Linked DNA regions of Elephas maximus indicus. The protein of the gene in region 2 purifies or fractionates together with the protein of the main gene of each other region. This does not show direct contact. Links are inferred from orthologs where the notes say so. Each region holds a gene or a part of one and is shown on either strand. Other genes may lie near its edges.

Evidence for each region. Proteins that work in one complex are often made in the same cells at the same time.
Region 1: the proteins of RPS6KA4 (region 2) and CSNK2B purify together in Homo sapiens (affinity purification with mass spectrometry; 3 studies listed by BioGRID and IntAct, with this or other methods). This does not show direct contact. The link is inferred for Elephas maximus indicus from reciprocal best matches to the Homo sapiens genes RPS6KA4 and CSNK2B.

What each region holds. Positions count from the first base shown.
Region 1 is NC_064819.1:93,195,185-93,205,631, forward strand, and holds CSNK2B (casein kinase II subunit beta), read left to right. Parts: upstream 1-3,567; 5' UTR 3,568-3,686; intron 3,687-3,865; exon of another isoform or gene 3,866-4,057; intron 4,058-4,502; 5' UTR 4,503-4,513; coding exon 4,514-4,585; intron 4,586-5,274; coding exon 5,275-5,377; intron 5,378-5,951; coding exon 5,952-6,067; intron 6,068-6,495; coding exon 6,496-6,595; intron 6,596-6,735; coding exon 6,736-6,925; intron 6,926-7,718; coding exon 7,719-7,809; 3' UTR 7,810-7,954; downstream 7,955-10,447. Other genes in the region: GPANK1 (G patch domain and ankyrin repeat-containing protein 1), read right to left, coding at 1-348, 1,119-1,753. UniProt on the Homo sapiens protein: Regulatory subunit of casein kinase II/CK2.
Region 2 is NC_064825.1:127,524,956-127,535,402, forward strand, and holds the start of RPS6KA4 (ribosomal protein S6 kinase alpha-4), read left to right. Parts: upstream 1-5,521; 5' UTR 5,522-5,659; coding exon 5,660-5,714; intron 5,715-5,807; coding exon 5,808-5,879; intron 5,880-6,581; coding exon 6,582-6,800; intron 6,801-6,891; coding exon 6,892-7,007; intron 7,008-7,662; coding exon 7,663-7,770; intron 7,771-8,015; coding exon 8,016-8,096; intron 8,097-8,174; coding exon 8,175-8,278; intron 8,279-8,379; coding exon 8,380-8,530; intron 8,531-10,447. Other genes in the region: CCDC88B (coiled-coil domain-containing protein 88B), read left to right, coding at 1-9, 136-281, 506-604, 793-959, 1,483-1,689, 1,846-1,914, 3,118-3,173. UniProt on the Homo sapiens protein: Serine/threonine-protein kinase that is required for the mitogen or stress-induced phosphorylation of the transcription factors CREB1 and ATF1 and for the regulation of the transcription factor RELA, and that contributes to gene activation by histone phosphorylation and functions in the regulation of inflammatory genes.

The DNA of each region.
Region 1 (10,447 bases), on a different chromosome or scaffold from region 2:
CGAGGCGCTCGCTCCCGCCCAGCCACAGCCCGGGTATCCAAAGCCTGGAAGTGTGTGACCCGGGGCTGGGGTGCTGATCTGTAGCCAAGACCCTCCTGGTCCCTCTTAAGGACAGTGGGGATAGGGTTGGTGCGACCCTCACCTCGGGGTCCAAGCCCCATCCCTGGCTCCCAGCCTCCCCTCAGCAGCAACCTGAAGCCTGGGCTGGAGGCAGGCACCCCAGGGGGAAGACTAGGGGGGCAGGGACCCTGGGACAGTGACAGCAGGTGGGCGGTGGATGTGCAGTGGTTGGCATCTTGGAAGTAGGCGTCACAGGTCTCGCAATAGTGGGAGGCGCGAGATTGGGGCCTGCAGAGGAAGAAGAGAAGGAGTTGAGGGAGGGGGTTATGGGTCAGGAGAAGGGTACAGAAGCTTCAGGGGTGCTGGCAGGGTGGGACAAGGTCTTTTCAGCCCTTCTGCTAAGGAACAAATTGCTTTCCTCCCCACTTAGCAATGAGAAACCCAGAGGGGAATGGCTGGGAGAAGAAATGGTAACTAGGCCTCACAAGACTTTTGGAGGAAGGAATAATAATGATTACAATTAATATTTATATAGTACTTACCATGTAGCAAAGGAGCCCCTGGGTGAGGCTAATGGCTACGCACTCCACTACTAACCAAAAGGATGGCAGTTGAAATCCACCCAGGAAGACAGGCCTGGCAATCTACTTCCAAAAGGTCAAAGTCTTGAAAACCTTATGAAGCATTCTACTCTGTACACATGGGGTCACCGTGAATTAGAATTGACTCAATGGCAACTAACAACTACATGGCAAGCACTGCTCTAGTAGTTTGCACGTATTAGCCCATTTAATCTTAACCCTACGAGAAAGGTACTATTATTACCCACCATCTCTCAGATAAGGAAACTGAGACACATAGCATTTAGGTTGTTTGCCCAAGTAAGTGGAGTTAGGATTCAAACCAATGGAGCTCATGTCTGTAACCATGCTACTACATTGCCTTATCAACCTACATGGGGCAGGGGGACCCTCAGCTCTGTTCTGGGGCCTCTGGTGCAGAGTGAGTAAGAAGAGCAGAACACTTTGAAATATGTGCATGGGCTAAGACTTTCTCACCGGTTCTCAGGGCTCCTCGTCTCTCCATGGCTCTCCCTGACCATGCGGGCCACCTCGGGGAAGCCGGCTTCTTCCGCCAGCTGGGCAGCATCCCGGCCACCCAGCTCACAAACTCCCACCCAGGCAGCCCCTCGGCCCAGGAGATAGCTCACAGCTGCCCCCTGGCCAGCTCGGGCAGCACACATCAGGGGAGTCCACCAGAAGGCATCACGGGTATTGATATTCCCCCCAGCTCCTCCTGTCTCACTGGGTTCCAGCAGCCTTCGAAGTTCTGCCAGGTCCCCCTCCTGAGCTGCCCTCAGTATCCACTGGGTTAGCTTGTCCTCTGCCTCAAGGGATCCCTCTTGTCCATGTACCCCTGATGCTGCCTCTGCCACTGCCATTGCTTCTGCCGCAGCCTCCCTCATCAGTCTTCTTTTCTTCCTCTTTTTCTCCCTGGCAGGCTCAGGGTGCGATCTTTGGGGTTCAGGAAAGCTGCTCTCGCTCTCTATCAGTGACTCGTAGAAAGCACGGACTGCAGACCCATCCAAGGCGGGTTCTGGCTCCTCAGGCTGTGGCTGCTGCTGCTGCCCATCTTTCCAGAGGTCACTAGAATCGCTGGCTGGGGTGAAGGTGATGAGGGACGGCCTGGACATGGCTTTTGTGAGAGCTGAGAAAATGAGGCTGGGCAAGGGAAGGCTGAGAAAAGCAAGCCAACTGCCCAAAAGCCCCTGTAGTGCCGAGATCCACCTCCAGGAAGCTGCCGAAAGGAAGAAAAGTAGCCTTAGAATCCAAGATCCCCTCCTGCCCCAAAAGTGACCCCACAATCTAAGGCCCGGCAGGGCCTAAGCGCCTAAGGACCGACTCATAGCGACCCTACAGGAGGACAGAGTAGAACTGCCCCACAGGGTTTCCACGCAGCGGCTGGTGAATGCCAATCGCCGACATTTTGGTTAGCAGCCAAGCTCGTAACCACTGCGCCACCAGGGCTCCAAGGGTTATAGGTCACATGTAAAAACAGGAAACCCTACAATAACCTGCTCCTTGCTAAATGTCAACAAAGAAAATTCCATGAGAGAGTTGCTCAGAGGGCCTATGTCCCGCCCTGCCACCCCGCTCTCATATAAAAGTAATGAGAGCCTCTCTCTGAACCGACTTTTCCACACCAAATGACATACGTTTAAGATAAAAAAAAACCGGCCTGGCCCTTTAAATCTTCCTGCTCCTATTTCGGGGTTCCGTCTTTCAAACAAAAACAGTCTCGGCACTTCTCCGGAAGCAGATTTCGGCAAGAGGCTCCGCCTGCATTGCTTTGTGGCTTCCGTACGGCAGAATGGCGCTACTCTAATCAAAAGATACGCTACAATCAAATAGCCACAAGACAAGACAACGCATGCGTGGCAGGAAAAAAAAAAAAAAAAGCCATGATTACATCAGAGCGCAGGCGTGAAGCGCCGGGTTCAGTTTCCCGCCCTGGAGTCTTTCCAATAGTCAATCTGCAAAGGGTCGCGTGCCTCGGCGGCGCGAGGACCTAAGAAGATCTGTCGGTTGGGGTCCTGCTTTTACATAACGCCCCACAATGCCCTCCACCTCCCTCGAGGTGACCCTCCGCTCCGAGCTCATTTTCTGGAGCCGGGAAACCATTCCCTGACTTAGGAAAGGCACTGAGGAGGGAAATCTGCAATGCCAAGAAGCTGTGACATGAAATAACGTCACCCTGCCCCTCACCATTACTCTGACCAAGGTTCGAAGGTTACACTTTGAGCCCGCAGTCGAAGGTCCTATTCAAGGCCTAAGAGGATATGGAAAAGTGCAAGGGGACAAGCGCCAGGATGGCTGGTGCCACCTCAGGTTAGCGCACTGGGCCGTCCCGGTTCTCACATCGCTCAGCCCAGCCCAGCCCAGCCCAGTCCAGCCCACCTAGGTCTCTCAGCACGGAGCATTTTCTTTCTCAGGAGGCCGGGGCTCTGGGTGAAACGTGGGCCCTATGGAGAAGGGGAAGCCCCAGGAATAGGCCTGACTGGGGCAAGGGACCTAACAGGCAAGAAAGACGCGACGGCCTGGACGAGACTAGGAATAAACAGGACTAGACTCCAGGGCGGAGGCGCTTAGCCAGGACTTGAGTATCAAGCAGTGAGGAGAGAGGCAGGGAGAGACTTCAGCCTGGCGCGCTGATTTCCCCGCCCCCACTCGGCCCCTCAGTCCTAGGAGCAAAACTCTGTATTTCCCAGGCTCTGGCCCCGAATGCGGCATTTGTTTTCCGCTTCCGGTGGCGCCTCGCTGCGCCCCGCCCTCGAGCGTCTTCCTCGCGGGCCCAGCGAACCAGAGTCGTGTGCGGGTCATCCTGGGATTCGTAGTTAGCTTTTCCCTCGTTTCGCCAGTTTGTCCCTACCGGGGACTCTATTTCCCGGCGTCCACCGCGGTGCCGGACCTTTGGCGCTTGCGCGTTGCTCTTTTCCCCACCCTCCCCAATTTCCACTCCCCCCACCGCGCGTCGCCTGCCGCGGTCGGGTCCACGGCCTTCGTTGTAGCTGTCGCTTGGAAGCAGCAACTCCCCTCCCCGCCCCACTCCCGGCCCCTGTCCAGCAGGTTAGTCTGAGGTCCTCGCCGCGCCGAGCCTTCTTCTTCGTTGGCGCTGCACATGGGGTCTCTGCGCCTCGATGTGGGGGCGGGGAAGGAAGTGACCCGGTCCGGCATTGAGGGAGGGAGGGAGGGAGGGGTGTCCTGGGGGGCGGCTGCGGTATGTGCGGGCTCCTGTGGAAGGGATCTGACAGTCACCCGCAGGCCGTCAGAAAAGGAGGGGCCGGGCTCTTTCCCGGGAAGGATAAACTTCGGGACCTTTGGGAAAGGCTCCGGAAACTTGCAGAGCCCTACTGTGGTAGGGAGCCGGAGTCGAGGACCCTGCTGGAGTTGACACGGAAGGGAGAGGGGCCCGGCTTGCGGGAGAGCCAGGGATGCGGGTAGGACTGGTGGGTCACATCTCTTGGTTTCTTGCAAGTGGACTGCACAGGATTTCTAACTGCAGAGAAAAGGGGCTGAGGTGTAAATAAAAGGAGTTGGAGAGGGGTGCTCCGGAGTCTGGGAGTCTTTAAGAAACCCCGTTAAAAAACCCCGTTGACATCGAGTCAGTTCTGACTACTGAAGACTTTATAGGACAGAGGAGAACTGTTCCATAGGGCTTCCAAGGAACAGCTGGTGGATTCAAACTGCCACCTTTTGGTTAGCAGTAGCAGCTCTCCATAGTTCTTAACCACTCCAGCACCAGGGCTCTCCTTTAAGAAAGGCTGACCCCAAGGTTCTTCTGTGGTTGGAAGGTGAAGTGTGGGAGGAGGGAGGATACTAGAGACAGAGGGAGGGAGGGAAAGCTCTGGGTCACCGGCTTTACTTACACCCTTATTTTTCAAGCTGACGTAAAGATGAGCAGTTCAGAGGAGGTGTCCTGGATTTCCTGGTTCTGTGGGCTCCGTGGCAATGAGTTCTTCTGTGAAGTGAGTTCTCCTCAGTCTCCCTGCTTGCCAGCGCAGCTCCACACAGACTCTGACCCCAGGCGTTCCCACACATATTCAGCCTTCTTATAATTTTTTCCGATGCTTCCATGGAAACTCCCTCTTGTCAAGGAAGTGTCCCCTCAGTACCTCCCATTAACCTGTAGTGAAGCGGCAAGACTGGTGCTCAAGTCCCAAGCCTTCCATCTTCCGACAGGAAGATGTCGAGAAGGTCAATCCATGTCTTTGTTATCACTAGAATAGTACTGATAGTACCTGTCTCAGGTGGCTGTTACGAGAATTGAAATACTACCTGTTAAAATGTTTGGTAATGTGTAAAGTTCTCTGTTAACGTAAGGGATTGTAACCTTCAGAATCTGAGCTGTCAGTCTCCACCTTCCTCAGAGAGCCAGCTATCCTTAAAGAGAGAACAAAACTGGTTCCTAGAGATGGGGTGCAGGAGTACGGATAGGGAACTTGAAAAGAATGTCTATCTGAGGAGACATCCTTAGAAAAGAAAGGCCAGGGCTTTTAGGAGAGGGAGTGTGTGAGTACCTCTTTTGAGTTTGGGGTGGGGGATGACGGGAACAGAAGCAGTTGTGTTGAGAACAAGGCATCAGTTAGAGCAACATGTCTGTGCCAAAGCCTGGAGTTTCTTTGTGGTTTCCTTCTTCACTTCCACATCCTGACAGGTGGATGAAGACTACATCCAAGACAAGTTCAACCTCACAGGGCTCAATGAGCAGGTACCCCACTATCGACAAGCCCTTGACATGATCTTGGACCTGGAGCCTGGTGAGGCACTTTCAGGGTTGTTGTTTTGTTTTGATTTTTCCTCCTCTCAAAATCCCAATTCCCCTGTTTCTTGAATTTCTAAATTTTCTTTTGGCTCTTTGTCTCCTTTATCCCAAAATCTCTTCCTTCACTTTGATTCTCCACCTGGCTCTTGCCTGGTTTAGTGACATCTGCCATCTGTTCCTGTGCTCACTGATTCTGTAATTCGGCTTTATTCCATAATGCCACTTTCCCCAAGTGTCTTGTTTTCTGCCTGTTTCTTCTGCCCTGCACCTTCCAGTCTAGAGTTCCACCTTCTGCGTTGACATCTTTGCATTTATGTATTGAGAAGCGAGGTAGGGGTAGAGAAGAGAACGGAGGCTGAAGAGGTGTGGAGGGAAGGCAGAGCTGCCCTGGGTTGGTGGAAGGGGTCAGAAACCTAGGTTTACGGGTTGAATGTCCAGGTGATGGGTGGGGTGAGACTCAGAGATAGGTGGTGGGCAAATTGAGTAGCCAGCAGCCACTGGGAGTGAGTGGAGCACCCTCAGGAAGGCTGAATGGCAAGTGGTTGCATTTGGGCCGGGCCATGTTTCAGATGAAGAGTTGGAAGACAACCCCAACCAGAGTGACCTGATTGAGCAGGCAGCTGAGATGCTGTATGGATTGATCCACGCCCGCTACATCCTCACCAACCGTGGCATCGCCCAGATGGTGAGGACTCTACTCCCACTTGACTCCTTTTGAGGCAATAAGGGAAACAGGTTCCAGCAGCAAGAAGTCATACATTTCAACTTTGCCAGGGAGTCTAGCTGAGAAGAGGGGAAGAAGCCCAGAATCTGGGCCTGGGAGTTGAGTCCTGATTTCGGGGCATGTTGTGGGAGGCTGTTTTCAGGAGGGAGACATGACCCTGAATGGGAAGTTCTTGCAGACTATCTCTTTCTTGGGGAACAAACAGTGAATGACTCTGGTTTGCAGCCTGCCTGACTGGAGGAAAGGAGGCAGCAGAGTCTGAGGGTCTGTCTGGGCTAGGGAAGGGGCCTCTGGACAGAGGTGGAAGGATTAGGGGCACAGTGATATAGGTTGGGCTGAGGGGGGAGTTAGCACTATGTGGGTTGCATCATTTCACACCTGTCTACCAGTCTTCGCCATTTTATTTACCTCAGTTGGAAAAATACCAGCAAGGAGACTTTGGCTACTGTCCCCGTGTGTACTGTGAGAACCAGCCAATGCTCCCCATTGGTGAGTATTGGATAGTGGTAGATGACATATGGCAGGTGCCCTGGGAATGTGTTGGGACTTAGCAAGTCGGGGCCCAAGTCCTGGGTGAAAGTTGTGCAGGTTAGAAGGTGCCCAGTCGGCTGAGTCTGGCTGTCTCGCAGGCCTGTCGGATATCCCAGGCGAGGCCATGGTGAAGCTCTACTGCCCCAAGTGCATGGATGTGTACACACCCAAGTCATCGAGGCATCACCACACGGATGGCGCCTACTTCGGCACCGGCTTCCCTCACATGCTCTTCATGGTGCACCCCGAGTACCGGCCCAAGCGGCCCGCCAACCAGTTTGTGCCCAGGTGGGGAGCAAGGACAGAGCTACCAAGGATCAAAGAAAAGACCCAAGGTCCCCTGGAGATAAGGGAAGGCAGGGCATCCCCTTTTTTGAGGTCTGGTTCCCCCAGGCCAGGGCTTCTTTTTGCTGAGTACCCTTGGGCAAATTATTTAATTGCCTTATGCTTGTTTTATTTTTTATGAAATGGGGATGATGGCAGTGTTATCCTGATAGGGTGACTTTGAACAGGTAAATTGCTTAGAACAGTGTTTGGAGCTTAAAATATTTAAACTTTAGTTATTGCCATCACCGGAGTGTCTGGGTGGCGTGAGTGCTTAAGCACTTACCTAACCAAAAGGTTGGCAGTTCAAACCAACACAGAGATGCCTCAGAAGAAAGACCTAGCAATCTATTTCCAAAAGGCCACTGCCATTGAAAACCCTGTGGAGCAGTTCTGCTCTGCACACCTTGAGTCACCATGGAATCAACTCAATGGCACCTAATTTGATTTTTGGTTATTATTACCACTGTCTTGGGTGTTCAGCCTTTTACCAGATTAATAAATATGATTCATCTTTTTGGGGCATCAATTTAAGTCTGTCTATGAAAAAGAGAAGTTCAGTTTTACCTTGAAACAAGAACTGATATAGAATTTGAGTTTTAATTGATGTTTAACATACATTTCCAAGTATTCTTGAGTAAAGAGTTTTGGGAACTACTGCCCTTAAGCTTTGAGGAAGCCCACGGAGGCAGAGGGGTGGGGAGGCAGGAATGTAACCCACTCATCCCACTACCTCTCTGATCTCTCCCCGGCCCAGGCTCTATGGTTTCAAGATCCACCCGATGGCCTACCAGCTGCAGCTCCAAGCTGCCAGCAACTTCAAGAGCCCGGTCAAGACGATTCGCTGATTCCTTAGCCTACCTGTTCCTCAGTCTTTTACACCCCTGTTCCTTTGCTGCCACCCTTTCAGGAATCCTCTGTGGTTTTTAGTTTAAATTAAAGGAGTCATTATTGTGGTGGGGATATCAAATAAAGTGGAAGAAAAGGCCATGAGCCGGTCTGCTGATGCTTGGGGTTGGGGATGGGAGGGTAGCTCTGGGAGCCCTCGGGGCCCACCCTCCCCAAGTTGGAAATCAGATTTGTGCCCTGTGGATTTGGCTGATGTTTTTAGTGGAGAACAGAACATAACTCCTAGGGCTGGGTGTAAAGTGCAAGTTCACAAGGAAAAGACCCAGAGAAAAATCAGGTTTCAAAGATTAGAAAAATATTTGTTTTTTGGGGGGCTATCTGTGATTGTCTATTCATACTGAAAGGGATGTCATCAACAGCATTGTCTTTCAGTTTTGGTTTTAAAGGAAAGTCCTAAAATCAAGAGAACTGTAAGAGTTGGAGAGAGGAGGAATAAAGTCCAGAATTGCTGCTCGGTGTGAGTGTGTGTGTGTGTGTGTGAGAGAGAGAGAGTGTGAGCGTGTCTCAGAAAGATGGAGATGCGGGGTTGCTGGTCAAAGGTTGTTCCGGCAGCTTTGGTCTGGCCCTTTGTGTGGGGTAGAGAGCAGGTTGTCCCAGAGATGGACATCCTAGTTCATGGACCCTCGAGGTGAGGGATAGGGCTTTGGGGGCCACGCAGAACAAAAATAGTTGAGTAAAGAGCCCAGGTAGGGCCCAAGTATTACCTCTGTCTGGGCCACTACTCCCACACTCAGGAACCAGACCTCGTGGGTGAGGACATGTTGTCCCTCCTGCCAGGTTGATAACTTCCCCTTGCAGCCCAGGATCCTGCCCTGGGCAGGAATATAGCTCTGCGCTTATAGCCCTTCCTGGTCAGATTGCCTATCAGAACTACCTCCAGCTCAGAATCAAGGCGTGTGGTCATAGGAAAGTGGGGATTCAGGGTACCCCTCAGGGATTGCCCCTCTCCAGAATTCCATAATGAGGGTCCACATGCTTACAGGCATGCTGGTCATGGTGGGCTTCTCAGCAGAAAAGGGTAAGTGGGGCCCAGGGGCAGGGAGGAAGGGGTGACCATGAGTTCAGGAACAGGGTGGGGCTGGATGCCTGGGTTCCCTGCAGGGCCGGGGAACTGGGGAGCGAGCCAAGATTCCCACCCCTCCTATCTTCTGCTTCCCCAGCTTCTGTTCCTGTTCCTGAAGTTCGAACCTGCCACTTCTGCCTCCTAGAAGACCCTGCTGTAGGTTGCATTTCGGGCTCAGAGAAGTGCACGATCAACAGCTTGTCCCCATGCATGGTGATCACCATCTATTATGGTGAGTCAAGTTCCAGGAATGGGAAGTGGGTGGAACAGACCCGGGTTTGGTTTCCCCTTCACATAGTTGGGCCCTTCTTGGGTCTGGGGTCCAGGAAGAAGAGAGAAGGATCTCGGAAAGAGAGGCCTGAGATTTTGGGGAGCTAGCTGAGCTATTTTTTCTGGAACCTTCTGAAGGAGACTGGGATGGAAGTCACTTCTGGCTGGGGGATGGGGAGAGTCAGTGGTCAGAGTGCCATGTTTGGGGACTATGGGAGGCAGCAAGGGTTACTGACTATCCCCTCTCCTTCAGATCTAAAGCCTCGCTTTATCATCCGAGCCTGTGGACAATACAATTCCTACCACTGCCGAGAACAACGTAGTACCTACTTCTTGAAGTACTGGTATCAGGCCCAGTGTTGCCAGTATGATTACTGCAACTCCTGGTCCAGCCCCCAGCTCCAGAGCCCCCCGTCTGAACCCCCTCACAGGCTCCTGGCCCTGCCCCTGTCTAAGTTCCAGAGCCAACGGTTCTACCAAGCCCTGAACCTCTCCCTGCCCCTGCCCAGTTTCCATGCTGGGATGGAGCCTGAAGGCCTGGACCTTCTGGCCACTCTGCCCCTTAGCCTGGGCTTGTCCATTGCTGACCTGCGTCACACATACCTGTTTCTCAACAAGTCAGGACTTTTGGTTCTTCCCCGGGCTGGACCTTGACACCTTACCCCTCCCAGAATCCAACCTGTTTTAGCGACTCTCCACTAATACCCCCAGTCCTGCACTGTCCTCTCTGGAAACACCCACATTATTTGGTCACTGTGATTTCTTGGGCCTCTCTCTTTTGTATCTCCAATATTTGTATAGCTTTGGTTTAATCTCCTCTGAAGCTAGTGGGCACTTTCTTCCTGCTAGAATAGAATCTCAAGTGTGGATTCTGCCTAGGCTGACCTGAGAAAGGTGCAGCAGTTTCTTTCGTTCTTCTCCCACCATCTGAGTTCCATCATCACCCCTTATCTTGCCAATCCACTCTCAATCTGGTCATCTGCCACCTCCATTCAAATCTGGCTCCAGATCCCCTGTCCTGTGCTTGTCTCTAAGACCAGGTGCCAGGCTGAACTTGCAGCCAGAAGGATGAGGGGTAGACTTCTGTGCTGACTTCTGACTTGGCAGTCTGATATCCCTACCTGACCCATCTCCACCACCTCCACCCCTGCCCTGGTCCACCGCCCACCCTCCAATATCTCTTATCACAGCCTCTGGCCTCCTCAGCCCCACTTCACCCTCACTGAGTCCCATCACCCACCTGC
Region 2 (10,447 bases):
CAGTGTGAGGTATGTGCAGGAGCAGGCAGTGGCCTGGGGTGGCAGGATGGCAGGGTAGCCTGGGAAAGCAGACCAGGCCGCCTTGAGCTGGGTTATGCCCCCTGACCCGTCCTGCCGACCCCTGTCCCCCACCAGCTGCTGACACAGCTGCGAAGTGCCCAGGAGGAGGAGAATCGGCAGCTGCTGGCAGAGGTGCAGGCCCTGAGCCGGGAGAACCGGGGGCTTCTAGAGCGCAGCCTGGAGAGTCGGGACCACCTGCACCGGGAGCAGCGGGAGTACCTGTGAGCAGCTGGGTGCCGGAGCGGATCCTGGAGGCCCTTTTGGCTGGGGAGGTCCTAAGAAAAGAGGGCTGCCAGGGGTGCCTGGGGGCTCAGGGACAGTGGCCATTTATCAGCCCATACCAGAGTATATCAATGTGCTAACAACTTGGTTGTACCAGCGTGCACCTGCCAACACCCATGAGCCCCCAGCCTCACGCCCACCTCTCCCCTCCCCGTCCTACCAGGGACCAGCTGAACGCCTTGCGCAGAGAGAAGCAGAAGCTGGTGGAGAAGATCATGGACCAGTACCGCGTGCTGGAGCCTGGGCCCCTGCCCCGGACTAAGTGAGCGGCCCTTCCCGCACTCTGGGCCAGGGTCCTCCCACCTCCCACTTGGCTTGGCCCTACCCTCTCGTCCCCAGCTCAGGGCAGGCCCCTGTGAGGGTTTGCCTGGCCTTGGCCATCCCCAACACAGTCCTCCCCTCCCACCTTCCTCTCTGTCCTTACCCCCTCTTGTGCCCTCTTGCCCCCAGGAAGGGCAGCTGGCTGGCAGACAAGGTGAAGAGGCTGATGCGGCCCCGGCGGGAGGGGGGCCCCCATGGGGGGCCACGCCTGGGGGCCGATAGGGCTGGCAGCACCGAGAGCCTGGGGGGCCCCCCGGAGACGGAGCTCCCCGAGGGCAGGGAGGCAGATGGGACAGGTGGGTTTGGGAGCTAAGTGACCAGGATGGTCCCTAGCCCATGTCCCCTGCCCCCACCCTGACCCCTGCCTGTGCATCTGGCCATTCCCTTTCTGTCTCGCCTTCCCTGTCACCTGCCCAGTTGCTTTCTGTGCCCTCTGCCTGGGCCTCTGCCGGGTCCCTCTTGGTCAGCACCTCCCTCCTGCCTGCAGTGCCCACCCACCCAGTCCTACCCTGTCCTCAGTAGTGCCTGGGACCTCAGAGCAGCAGGGAACATTAGTGAGAGATCATTTATCCCAGTCAGCAGATGAGGAAACTGAGGCCCAGAGAGGGGGAGCGCCTTGCCCAAGGTCACACAGTAAGTTAGCATCAGGGCCAGCACAGGACCCAGCCTTTTGAGGGTGATTGTACCATGCTCACTCGGGACCCTCGCCCTGCCTCTGTGGCCACGTCGCCCTGCCCCTACAGCCTCCCCTGCTGGCCCTCCTCTGAGGCCTGGCCCTGGCTGCAGTTCTCTGACCCCTCCCTTCGTTCACTCTTGCAGGGCTCCCCTCACCAGCACCCATGCGCCGGGCCCAGAGCTCCCTGTGCCTACGGGATGAGACCCTGGCAGGTGGGCAGCGGCGGAAACTCAGCTCACGGTTCCCTGTGGGGCGAAGCTCTGAGTCATTCAGCCCTGGGGACACCCCACGGCAACGATTCCGCCAGCGCCGCCCAGGCCCCCTGGGGGCACCCAACTCCTCTGGCAAAGGTGGGGACCCTGTTTCCATTAGCTCCCCACTCCCAGTGGACCAATCATCTCCTTGGGGGAGGGGGCTTCCCTCCTGTCCGGTGTCTTCCCACAAGCCCCACTCACCTTTGCCCCAGTGATCCCTGTGGCCCCACGGCTATATCGTGTCCCCCCCAGGATCTGGTGTGGGATGGGACGGCTCCGTCGAGACCCTGGCGGAACATGAAGCAGATGTCAGCCGAGAGGGTGAGGGGGGCCTGGGGAGGGGGTTGGAGTATTCACCCCAACCAGGGCTCCTGACAGACTTCCTCCATCCATTTGAGTCTTTACTAAGTGCCAGGTCCTGTACTAGCTAAGGATATAGCAGGGAACATTCTGCTAGGGGACACAGATGGTAATCAATAGGCCCTGTTGGATAGAAATACAACGTGTAATTTTTAGTTTCCTAGTAGCCACATCACAAAAGGCAAAAAGAGGCAGATGAAATTGATTTTAACGATACTTTCTTTAACTCAGTATGCCTAAGATATCGTTTCAACATGTAGTCAGTGTAAAATTTTTACACTGTGAGATATTTTACATAATTTTTTCATACTAAGTCTTGGAAGTCCAGTGGCTATTCTATGACGAGCAGCCATACGTGGCTCGGAGTGGCCGTACAGGACAGCCCAGCTCTAGAATACCATTATTGTTGTTAGGTGCCATAGAATCGATTTCTACCCATAGTGACCCCATGTGACAGAGTAGAACTGCCCCATAGGATTTTCTAGGCCGTAATCTTTACGGGGAAGGAGTCCTGGCGGCGCAGTGGTTAAGGGCATGGCTGCTAACTGAAAGGTCAGTGGTTCCAACCAACCAGCCGCTCTGCAGGAGAAAGATGTGGCAGTCTGCTCCCCTAAAGATTACAGCCTTTGAAACCCTATGGGGCAGTTCTACTCTGTCCTGCAGGGTTGCTATGATTTGGAATTGGCTTGACGGCAATGCCTTTGGTTTGGCTAATCCTTATGGGAGGAGATCACCAGGTCTTTTCTCTCGAGGAGCAGCTGGGTGCATTTAAACCACCAACCTTTCAGCAGCAGCTGAGTGCTTAACCGCTTAATCCTTGTGCCACCAGGGCTCCTTCCCGGAATATTAGGAGGTGATAATGTTTGGGGAAAAGTATAGAGTGAGGGGGTTAGGGTGCCGAGGAGGAGGCGAGTTGCCGTTTAATTAGGGTGCTTAGGTAGGCCTCAAAGGGGAGGTGGAGCTGGAACAAAAACTTGGAGGTGAGAATCTGCCAGGGCCAGCATTCCAGGTGTGAGGAACAGCCAAAGCGAAGGCCTGGCGTGTTCAGGACAGGCGAGGAGCATGGTGCGGCTGGAGTAGAGGAGGTTGGGGGGCTGAGGTGGGCCTCTTGAGGACTAGGGGTCGTCCTGGGTCAGGAGGCCTGAGCTGAGCCTCTCCTTCCAGGCCTCGAGGTGCAGGAACAGGAGAAACGTCTCCTCACCCCTTCCCTCAGCCAGTGACACCACATGGATGGGGCCCACGGGAGCACTCCCCTCTCGCCGTTGGAGCCTCGGTGGGGGCTCTCGCCAGCCCAAGAGCTCAGGGAGCCAGGGTGCCCAAGGGGAGTCCTTGGACAAAGAGGCCCTGAGATGGAGCTGGGACGAACTTGTGGACAGGGGGCATGGCCATCCCCCAAGGGCAGCTCCTTGCCAGGACACCGGCTCTGCCCTGCGGCCCCCACTGAGGAGGCAGTCTCTGGGGGATCACCCTTCAGAAGGAGGCTGGCGGGAGCAGGCAAGAGAGCCCCCCTGCCCGGTCCACGTGGGGAGCTAAGGACCACTCCCTGGGGTCTGTGACCTGGGCCAATCTCTGAGCCGGGGCGTGAGGAACGTCAGAATAAAGCGAGATGCAGTCACCTGAATTATGTTGTGTCTTCTGGTTGCATCCAGGGGCTACAAGACGTCAGGGACACATGCAGCTCCAAGTCCACCCCGCTGGTGGGGGCACGGGAGCAGCAGTCTGCGGCAGAGGGCGGGCCTCCCTGCCCCCAACAGGGTGGCAAAGGGCACTTGTTAGGTGAGGCCAGCCGGGCTTGCCAGAGCCTAGATGTCCCTGCGTGTGTGTGGGTGCATTCAGGGTAATAAAGGACAGTGCTCCAGCAGTGGGTGGGGCCTGAAGTCTCAGCTCCGCCTTTGCCTACAAGGCAGGGTCTGTAAGCCCCAGAGGCCCCACCTCCTCCTGGGCACCCTCTTCTCACCCTTCACTTCCCCCCACCTTCTCATCTCCTCTTTCCCATCCCTTTGGAATTGAGCCCCTGGTGCTTGGTGGGGCACCACCTAATGTCAAGAGCTGCCATAGAGGGATGCTGGAGGTGGGAGGGACCAAGGGCTTTGGAAGAGACTGGGAAGATGGGCAGTTAGGCTGGGTGGCCAGATGTGAGTCAGGGGACTTGGGCTGCCCAGGGCGGGATGGGCTACTCCTGAACCTGGGGGTGTGCAGAGCCGGGAGGGTGGCCATCCAGCCCCGCCAGGGTAACCTGCAGAGCCTGGCTCAAGGGGTTTCTGTACCCCTGCCCTGGGGTTAACCCCCAGCTCTGCCCTCCTCTCCAGTGGAGCTGGGGGGGGGGCAGTGGGTGGGGTGGTCCCCCTGACCTCCAGCTGGGCTGAGGAGCAGAAAGCCCACTTCCGTAGGCCTCGGAGCCGGGGTTGTGGTGGCCTCCCCACCCTGCTTTGTGGCCTCTGTCAGTTGCCAGAGAGGGCGAGGCCCGGGAATTGGCTGCCTCCAGGAGGCTGGAAGAGGAGGTGGCAGAGGCTCTGGGAGATAGGTCACTCAGGGGCTCTGGGTCTGATGGGGAGAGGGGACTGCCCCTGTGTGGCTCTGACATCCTTTTTGAGGTCTGCTCTGGGCTGGGCACCATGCCAAGCTCAGGGACAACAGGGGGATAGTACCATAGGAGGTATGTGCAGCACCAGGTGGGCTTCCGAGGGTGGCTGGGGACTGAGGCTCTTCTGCAGACCCAGAGAAAAGAGATCCAGTTGGTGTAAAAAAGAGATCCATGCGTCCTACTACAGCTGGGCTTGACTCCATCCCCCTGTGGAGCCCCCTGTAGGCACCAAGAGGTCCCAGTGGTGCTGCAGGAGCCAAGATAAGGCTTAGTTCTGAAGGCCCCTAAGCCCCCTCATACTTCCCCTGCAGAGTCAAGTCCACAAGAGAGGGAGTCTTGGCTGGCCATCTGGAGGTGTATGTAGGCGGGGAGCTGGAGGTGACAGAGCTGGGGCCAGGTTGGTTCCACTGCCTTGGACTGGGTGGCTTCCAGGACCCTGACATCCTCTTGCCTGCCCAGCACCCAGGGGACTGGCCACACTGAGTGAGGGTGCTGGGCCCAGGCTGTGTTGGATGACGGTGGCCCCGGCCGCCCATCAGTCAAAGGGGCACACAGAGCCCCAACCCTCTTTGCGGAGGTCAAAGTGATCACAAATGGAGTGAGTGGGCTGTGTTTTTTATGAAAGCCCTTGCACTGTCGCTGGTGGCTATGAAAATCAGGTGGAGGACTGGCGGCTGCACTGGGTCTGGACTCTAGGAGGGGTGGTCTCTATGCCTGTTTTGGTCCTCCCTCCACCTTGGGGCATAGGCTCCTGGTGTCTGGGACACTGGCTTCAGCAGGCATCCTGGCTTGGGAGTGTACGCTCAGGGACCCCAGGCATGTCTCCCAAGAGGGGGAGGTCCCAGATCCCCGGGGGGGGGGGTTGCATGTGGATCTCCTTAGCATACAGCCTTGATGCTTGCCCCCATGCGGGGAGACAGGGCGACCCCCACCGGCCGCCCACTGAGGCCCGGCGCTGTCACGTTCCAGCCGCCTGACTCAGGCCGCGCGGGGCGGAGAGCCGAGAGGCGGCGCCCGCCTCGGCCCGGAGGCGGCACCAGGAAGCGCCCGCCCCGGCCGGAGCCGCCATGTAACCGGCGCCGCCCGGAGCCCGAGCCGCGCGGGCCCAGGGACCCGCCCGCCATGGGGGACGAGGACGAGGATGAGAGCTGTGCGGTGGAGCTGCGGATCACGGAAGGTGGAGCAAGAGCGGCAGGGGGCGCGGGGTGGCTGTCGCGTAGGACTGGGAGGGTCACGGCCGGCTGAGCTGATTCGCTCCCTGTGTCCGCAGCCAACCTTACCGGGCATGAGGAGAAGGTGAGCGTGGAGAACTTCGAGCTGCTCAAGGTGCTGGGCACGGGAGGTGAGGACCCCGGGCCCCCAGGCAGGTGTCCCAGGTTCGGTGCCCTGGGTTTCCAGGGCCGCAAACCCGCCTGGGCCCGGGCCAGGCCACCGGGAAGGCCCCCCACCCTTTCCCGGCACAGCCGCCTAGCTCGCCCCGCCCTGCCCCGCCAGGGTTTGCATGCCCTCTCCCAGGGCCAGCTCAACGGTGACATCGTTCCTCCCTGCCAGGTCCTGTGCGTGCATGCCCCCTTCCCGGTTTGCCAGCACCCTGCAGGGCCTTGCATCCCTCCCAATTATTTGCACAGCTCCTCCCCTTCCCCTGCTCGAAGCGCCCTCCCCCGCTTTGCAAACTCCCTAGCCCTAGTTTGCACTGCCCACCCGCATCTCTGCATCCCTTCCTTGGATTTGAATCCTCTTGCATCCGCCTGTTCTTTCGCAGGTTTGCACATGCCCCGCCCCCACCTCGCGCTGCAGGCCCCCTGGGGATGCATGCTCCCCAGTCTGGGTTGCACATCCCCGCCCTGGTTTTGCGGAGCATCCTCCTGGGGTTTGCACACCTGTTCCTTGCACACCTCTTCCAGTTCTTTGCACACCTGCCTGGCGACCCGGCTTCTACCCTCGATTTGCACACCCTCCTGGGTTGGCATCACCCCCCGCCCCCGCCAGTCTGCACCACCCCCCTGCTCACGGACCACCCTCCACCCACTTGCTGCTCCCACAGCCTACGGGAAGGTGTTCCTGGTGCGGAAGGCGGGCGGGCACGACGCGGGGAAGCTGTATGCCATGAAGGTCCTGCGCAAGGCGGCGCTGGTGCAGCGCGCCAAGACGCAGGAGCACACGCGCACCGAGCGCTCGGTGCTGGAGCTGGTCCGCCAGGCACCCTTCCTGGTCACGCTGCACTACGCCTTCCAGACCGACGCCAAGCTGCACCTCATCCTGGGTAAGGGCAACTGCACTCTGACCTCGGCCGGGGTGGGTGCAGGCGTGGTGACCCGGACCCGGCGCTCTCTGACCCCCATCCCGTCCCCCAGACTACGTGAGCGGCGGGGAGATGTTCACCCACCTCTACCAGCGCCAGCACTTCAAGGAGGCCGAGGTGCGCGTGTACGGGGGCGAGATCGTGCTGGCCCTGGAACACTTGCACAAGGTGGGCGGGGCCCTGACCACGCGGCTGTTGCCATGGGGATGCGCCTGCGGCTTGTAAGGGGCTTCAGAACATGGCCGTGGTGGGTCTTTTCCCGGGCCTCCTGGGGCGCGGTGTCCTCAATGGGGACTGGAGCTGCTTCACAGGCCTGGAAGGAAGGGCTCAGTGCGGCCTGCGGGGGTGGGGGGAAGGGCCTCCTCCCCTGGCGCCTCGGCCAAGGGGCTTTCCTCTCACAGGGAGCTCGGGGCTGCCTCCTGAGACGCTCTCACAGAAAGAACTTCCTCAAAATCAGACCTCAAGCCTCGCTCCCTGCACCTCCTTGAAATGAGCTCTCCACCCGGCGTTTGAAATGAGCTTTTCACCCGGCTTTCCTTCTCCCGGGACCTTGGGGCTGCTCCAGTGGGGCCTCTTCCTGGGGTCTTCCTGCCTTGCCTTTGGTCCTTAGAATGGTTCAGCTCCAGCCCAGCCCCTGTCCCAGGAGTCCCTCTGCACGCAGGTGTCCTTGATCAGGGACCTCCTCTCGGAGGGTCTCCTTGTCTTGAGTGGAGACCTGGTTGTCAGCAGTTGTGGAGGGACATGGGTGGGGGACTTGTCCCTGGAGGCTTGGAGCTGGGGAAGGTTTCGGGGAGGAAGCTCAGTGCCCCTCTTGCCCTGCCAGCTGGGCATCATCTACCGGGACCTGAAGCTGGAGAACGTGCTGCTGGACTCCGAGGGCCACGTCGTCCTCACGGACTTTGGGCTGAGCAAGGAGTTCCTGACGGAGGAGGTGAGGGAGGGTCATCTCTCTGCCCACTGCATCCCCATTCAAGCTTCTCCTTCCTGTCTCTTCCTGTCCTGTGCCTGGCTCTGTGTTTCCAGAGGTGCAGAGGTGAATGGACCCAGGCCCTGCCTTCAAGAAACTCCCGCTGCCCCCACCCTCACAAGTCCATCAAGTCCTCACTCGGAGCTTTGGGGGCTGCTGGGGCCAAAGAGAGGCCTTTGGTACCTAAATGTGCCCTCTCGCCCTCCCAGAAAGAACGGACTTTCTCTTTCTGTGGCACTATTGAATACATGGCCCCTGAGATCATCCGCAGCAAGTCGGGGCATGGCAAGGTAGGTCGGTGGGGAAGCAGGGGCAGTGGGTGTGGGCCCGGGGCGGTGTAGGCCCTCATTCTGGCTCCACCCTGGTAGGCCGTGGACTGGTGGAGCCTGGGCATCCTGCTCTTCGAGCTGCTGACGGGGGCCTCGCCCTTCACGTTGGAGGGCGAGAGGAACACCCAGGCTGAGGTGTCCCGGTGAGGAGGGCCGGACGTGGAGGCGGCCAAGGGCCAGGGGCCTGCCTGGGCAGGGCTGTGGGGGGGCTCGCTGCCCCTGACGCCCCCCCCAATCCTCTCAGACGGATCCTGAAGTGCTCCCCTCCCTTCCCCCCCCGGATTGGGCCTGTGGCGCAGGACCTACTGCAGCGGCTGCTTTGCAAGGACCCCAAGAAGCGGCTGGGTGCAGGTCCCCAGGGGGCACAGGAAGTCAAGAACCACCCCTTCTTCCAGGTGAGGCTCTGGACTCTGGGCCCCACACCTCCGTGCTGGGCACACCTAGGCCAGGCTACTGCTCTGGGTTGGGGGATGCAGAGGGAGGGTCTGAGCCTGGTAGATTTCACTTTGTCCAGACCACCCTCCAGGGAAAGAAAGCAAATGTGTATAAGTTGAGGCTTATCCTCTCATCTACCCCCATTGAGGCTTTGGAGATGCGTTCCAGAAGGAAAGAATTCTAGGTTCATCATGTCTGGGCTGGCAGGGACTTGAGAATGGGTCAACCAGTCCTTTCAATTGACAGGCCCAGAGAAGGGACGTGACTGCCCAAGATGGCACAGAAAATGGTGTAGAGCTGGGGACAGAACCCAGGTCTCCTCTGGGCCCAAATTAATAATGAAAATCACAGGTATGGCTCTTTAGCGTCCCCGCGGCCGTTTTGTTTTGTCCTTGTGCAGTTTGGGTCTGCATACAGGGTCGCTATGAGTCCTAACTGACTTGACGGCAATGGAGGGAGTTTTGTGCAGCCTGAGTGCCTGCCATTTGGATGGATGGTTGAGGAGCCCACGTGGGGCTTGGCTGACTGGTTAAGAGCATGTGCATTCCACCTCCCTGTGAGACCAGGTGCTTGGCCATCACCAGCACCCAGCAGGACCTTACGGCAGTGAGCATTCACTGTGTCAGCCATCGGCCTGCGTTACTTCACGTAACCCTCTGAACCATCCTGATGATCCCCACTGTTATAGGCGAGGACCCTGAGGTTCAGAGAGGTTAAGACATTTGCCCAAGTTCATCTAGCCAGGAAGCAATAAAAGCTCAAATTCAAACCCAGGTCTAGGGGCTTGAAGGCCTGTGCTCTTAAATGCTGTGTTCTTCTGTTTGCCTGTGGGCAACAGATATGCCACTTGTCTGATACGATAACAAAAGCACCCTTTTATGGCTGCTGGGGTGGCGTAAATAGTTCGCACTTGACTACTAACCTAAAGGTTGGCAGTTTGAACCCACTCTGGTGCTACAGAAGAAAGACCTGGCAATCTGTTTCCAGAAAGATTACAGCCAAGAAAACCCTATGGAGCTGTTCTATTCTATAACAAAGGGAGTCTGCATGAGTCGGAATCGACTCGATGGCAACGGGTTTGGAGTGGTTTTTATTATGTGCCGGGCATTCTGTTACCCGTATTACAAGCACCATCTCCTTGAGTCTCCCCAGTAAGTATCACCCGGAAGGGCCCTTGCGGATGCTTTCTCAGACAGAAGCCTAAGTCTCTTTGGTGAAGATGTCTCTTTGCTGGGGGAGAAGGGGAAGCAGTTGAGAAGTGTCATTTTCCTTCAGTGAGTTCCTTAAACCCATTCTGAGTGCATGCCAGGTGCTGTGCTGGGTGCTGGGAGCAGGTGGATCTGTCCACAGGAGAGACCCCAAGGCCTTTGAGGCCTGATTCTTGGTAGGGTTGTTCCCCTCATTCCACCTTCTTTCTGGGCAGCCTCTTTGGTGATAGCAATGCCGGGATCCCTGGTGGCAGAATTGGGTCCTTTAAGCCTGACTCAGGCCTCTTGGCTTTAAGTGACAAAAAGTCTAATTCAAAATGGTAGTATCTGTTGGAATAGAGTTCGGCTGCTAGTAACAGAGATTGGAACGAAGAGTGGCCTAAAGAAAAAAGAAGTTATTATTTTTTCTCACATGAAGTATAGAGGTTGGCAGACCAGGGCTGCTGTGGGGTCTTCATGGTGTCTTCAGGAACCTACGCTCCTTTTGTCTTATGCTTCTCCATTCTTAGCGTGTAGGCTTCACCCCAGGGTTGCCTCACGGCCCAAGATGGCTGCTGGAGATCTTGCCATCTAGGCTGCTTCCCAGGCAGGAAGCAGAGGGAAGAAGGATGGAAAGGGCAAAAAGAGCACTTGCAAAGATCCTTCTTGAGGATCTTTCCCTGGAGTTCT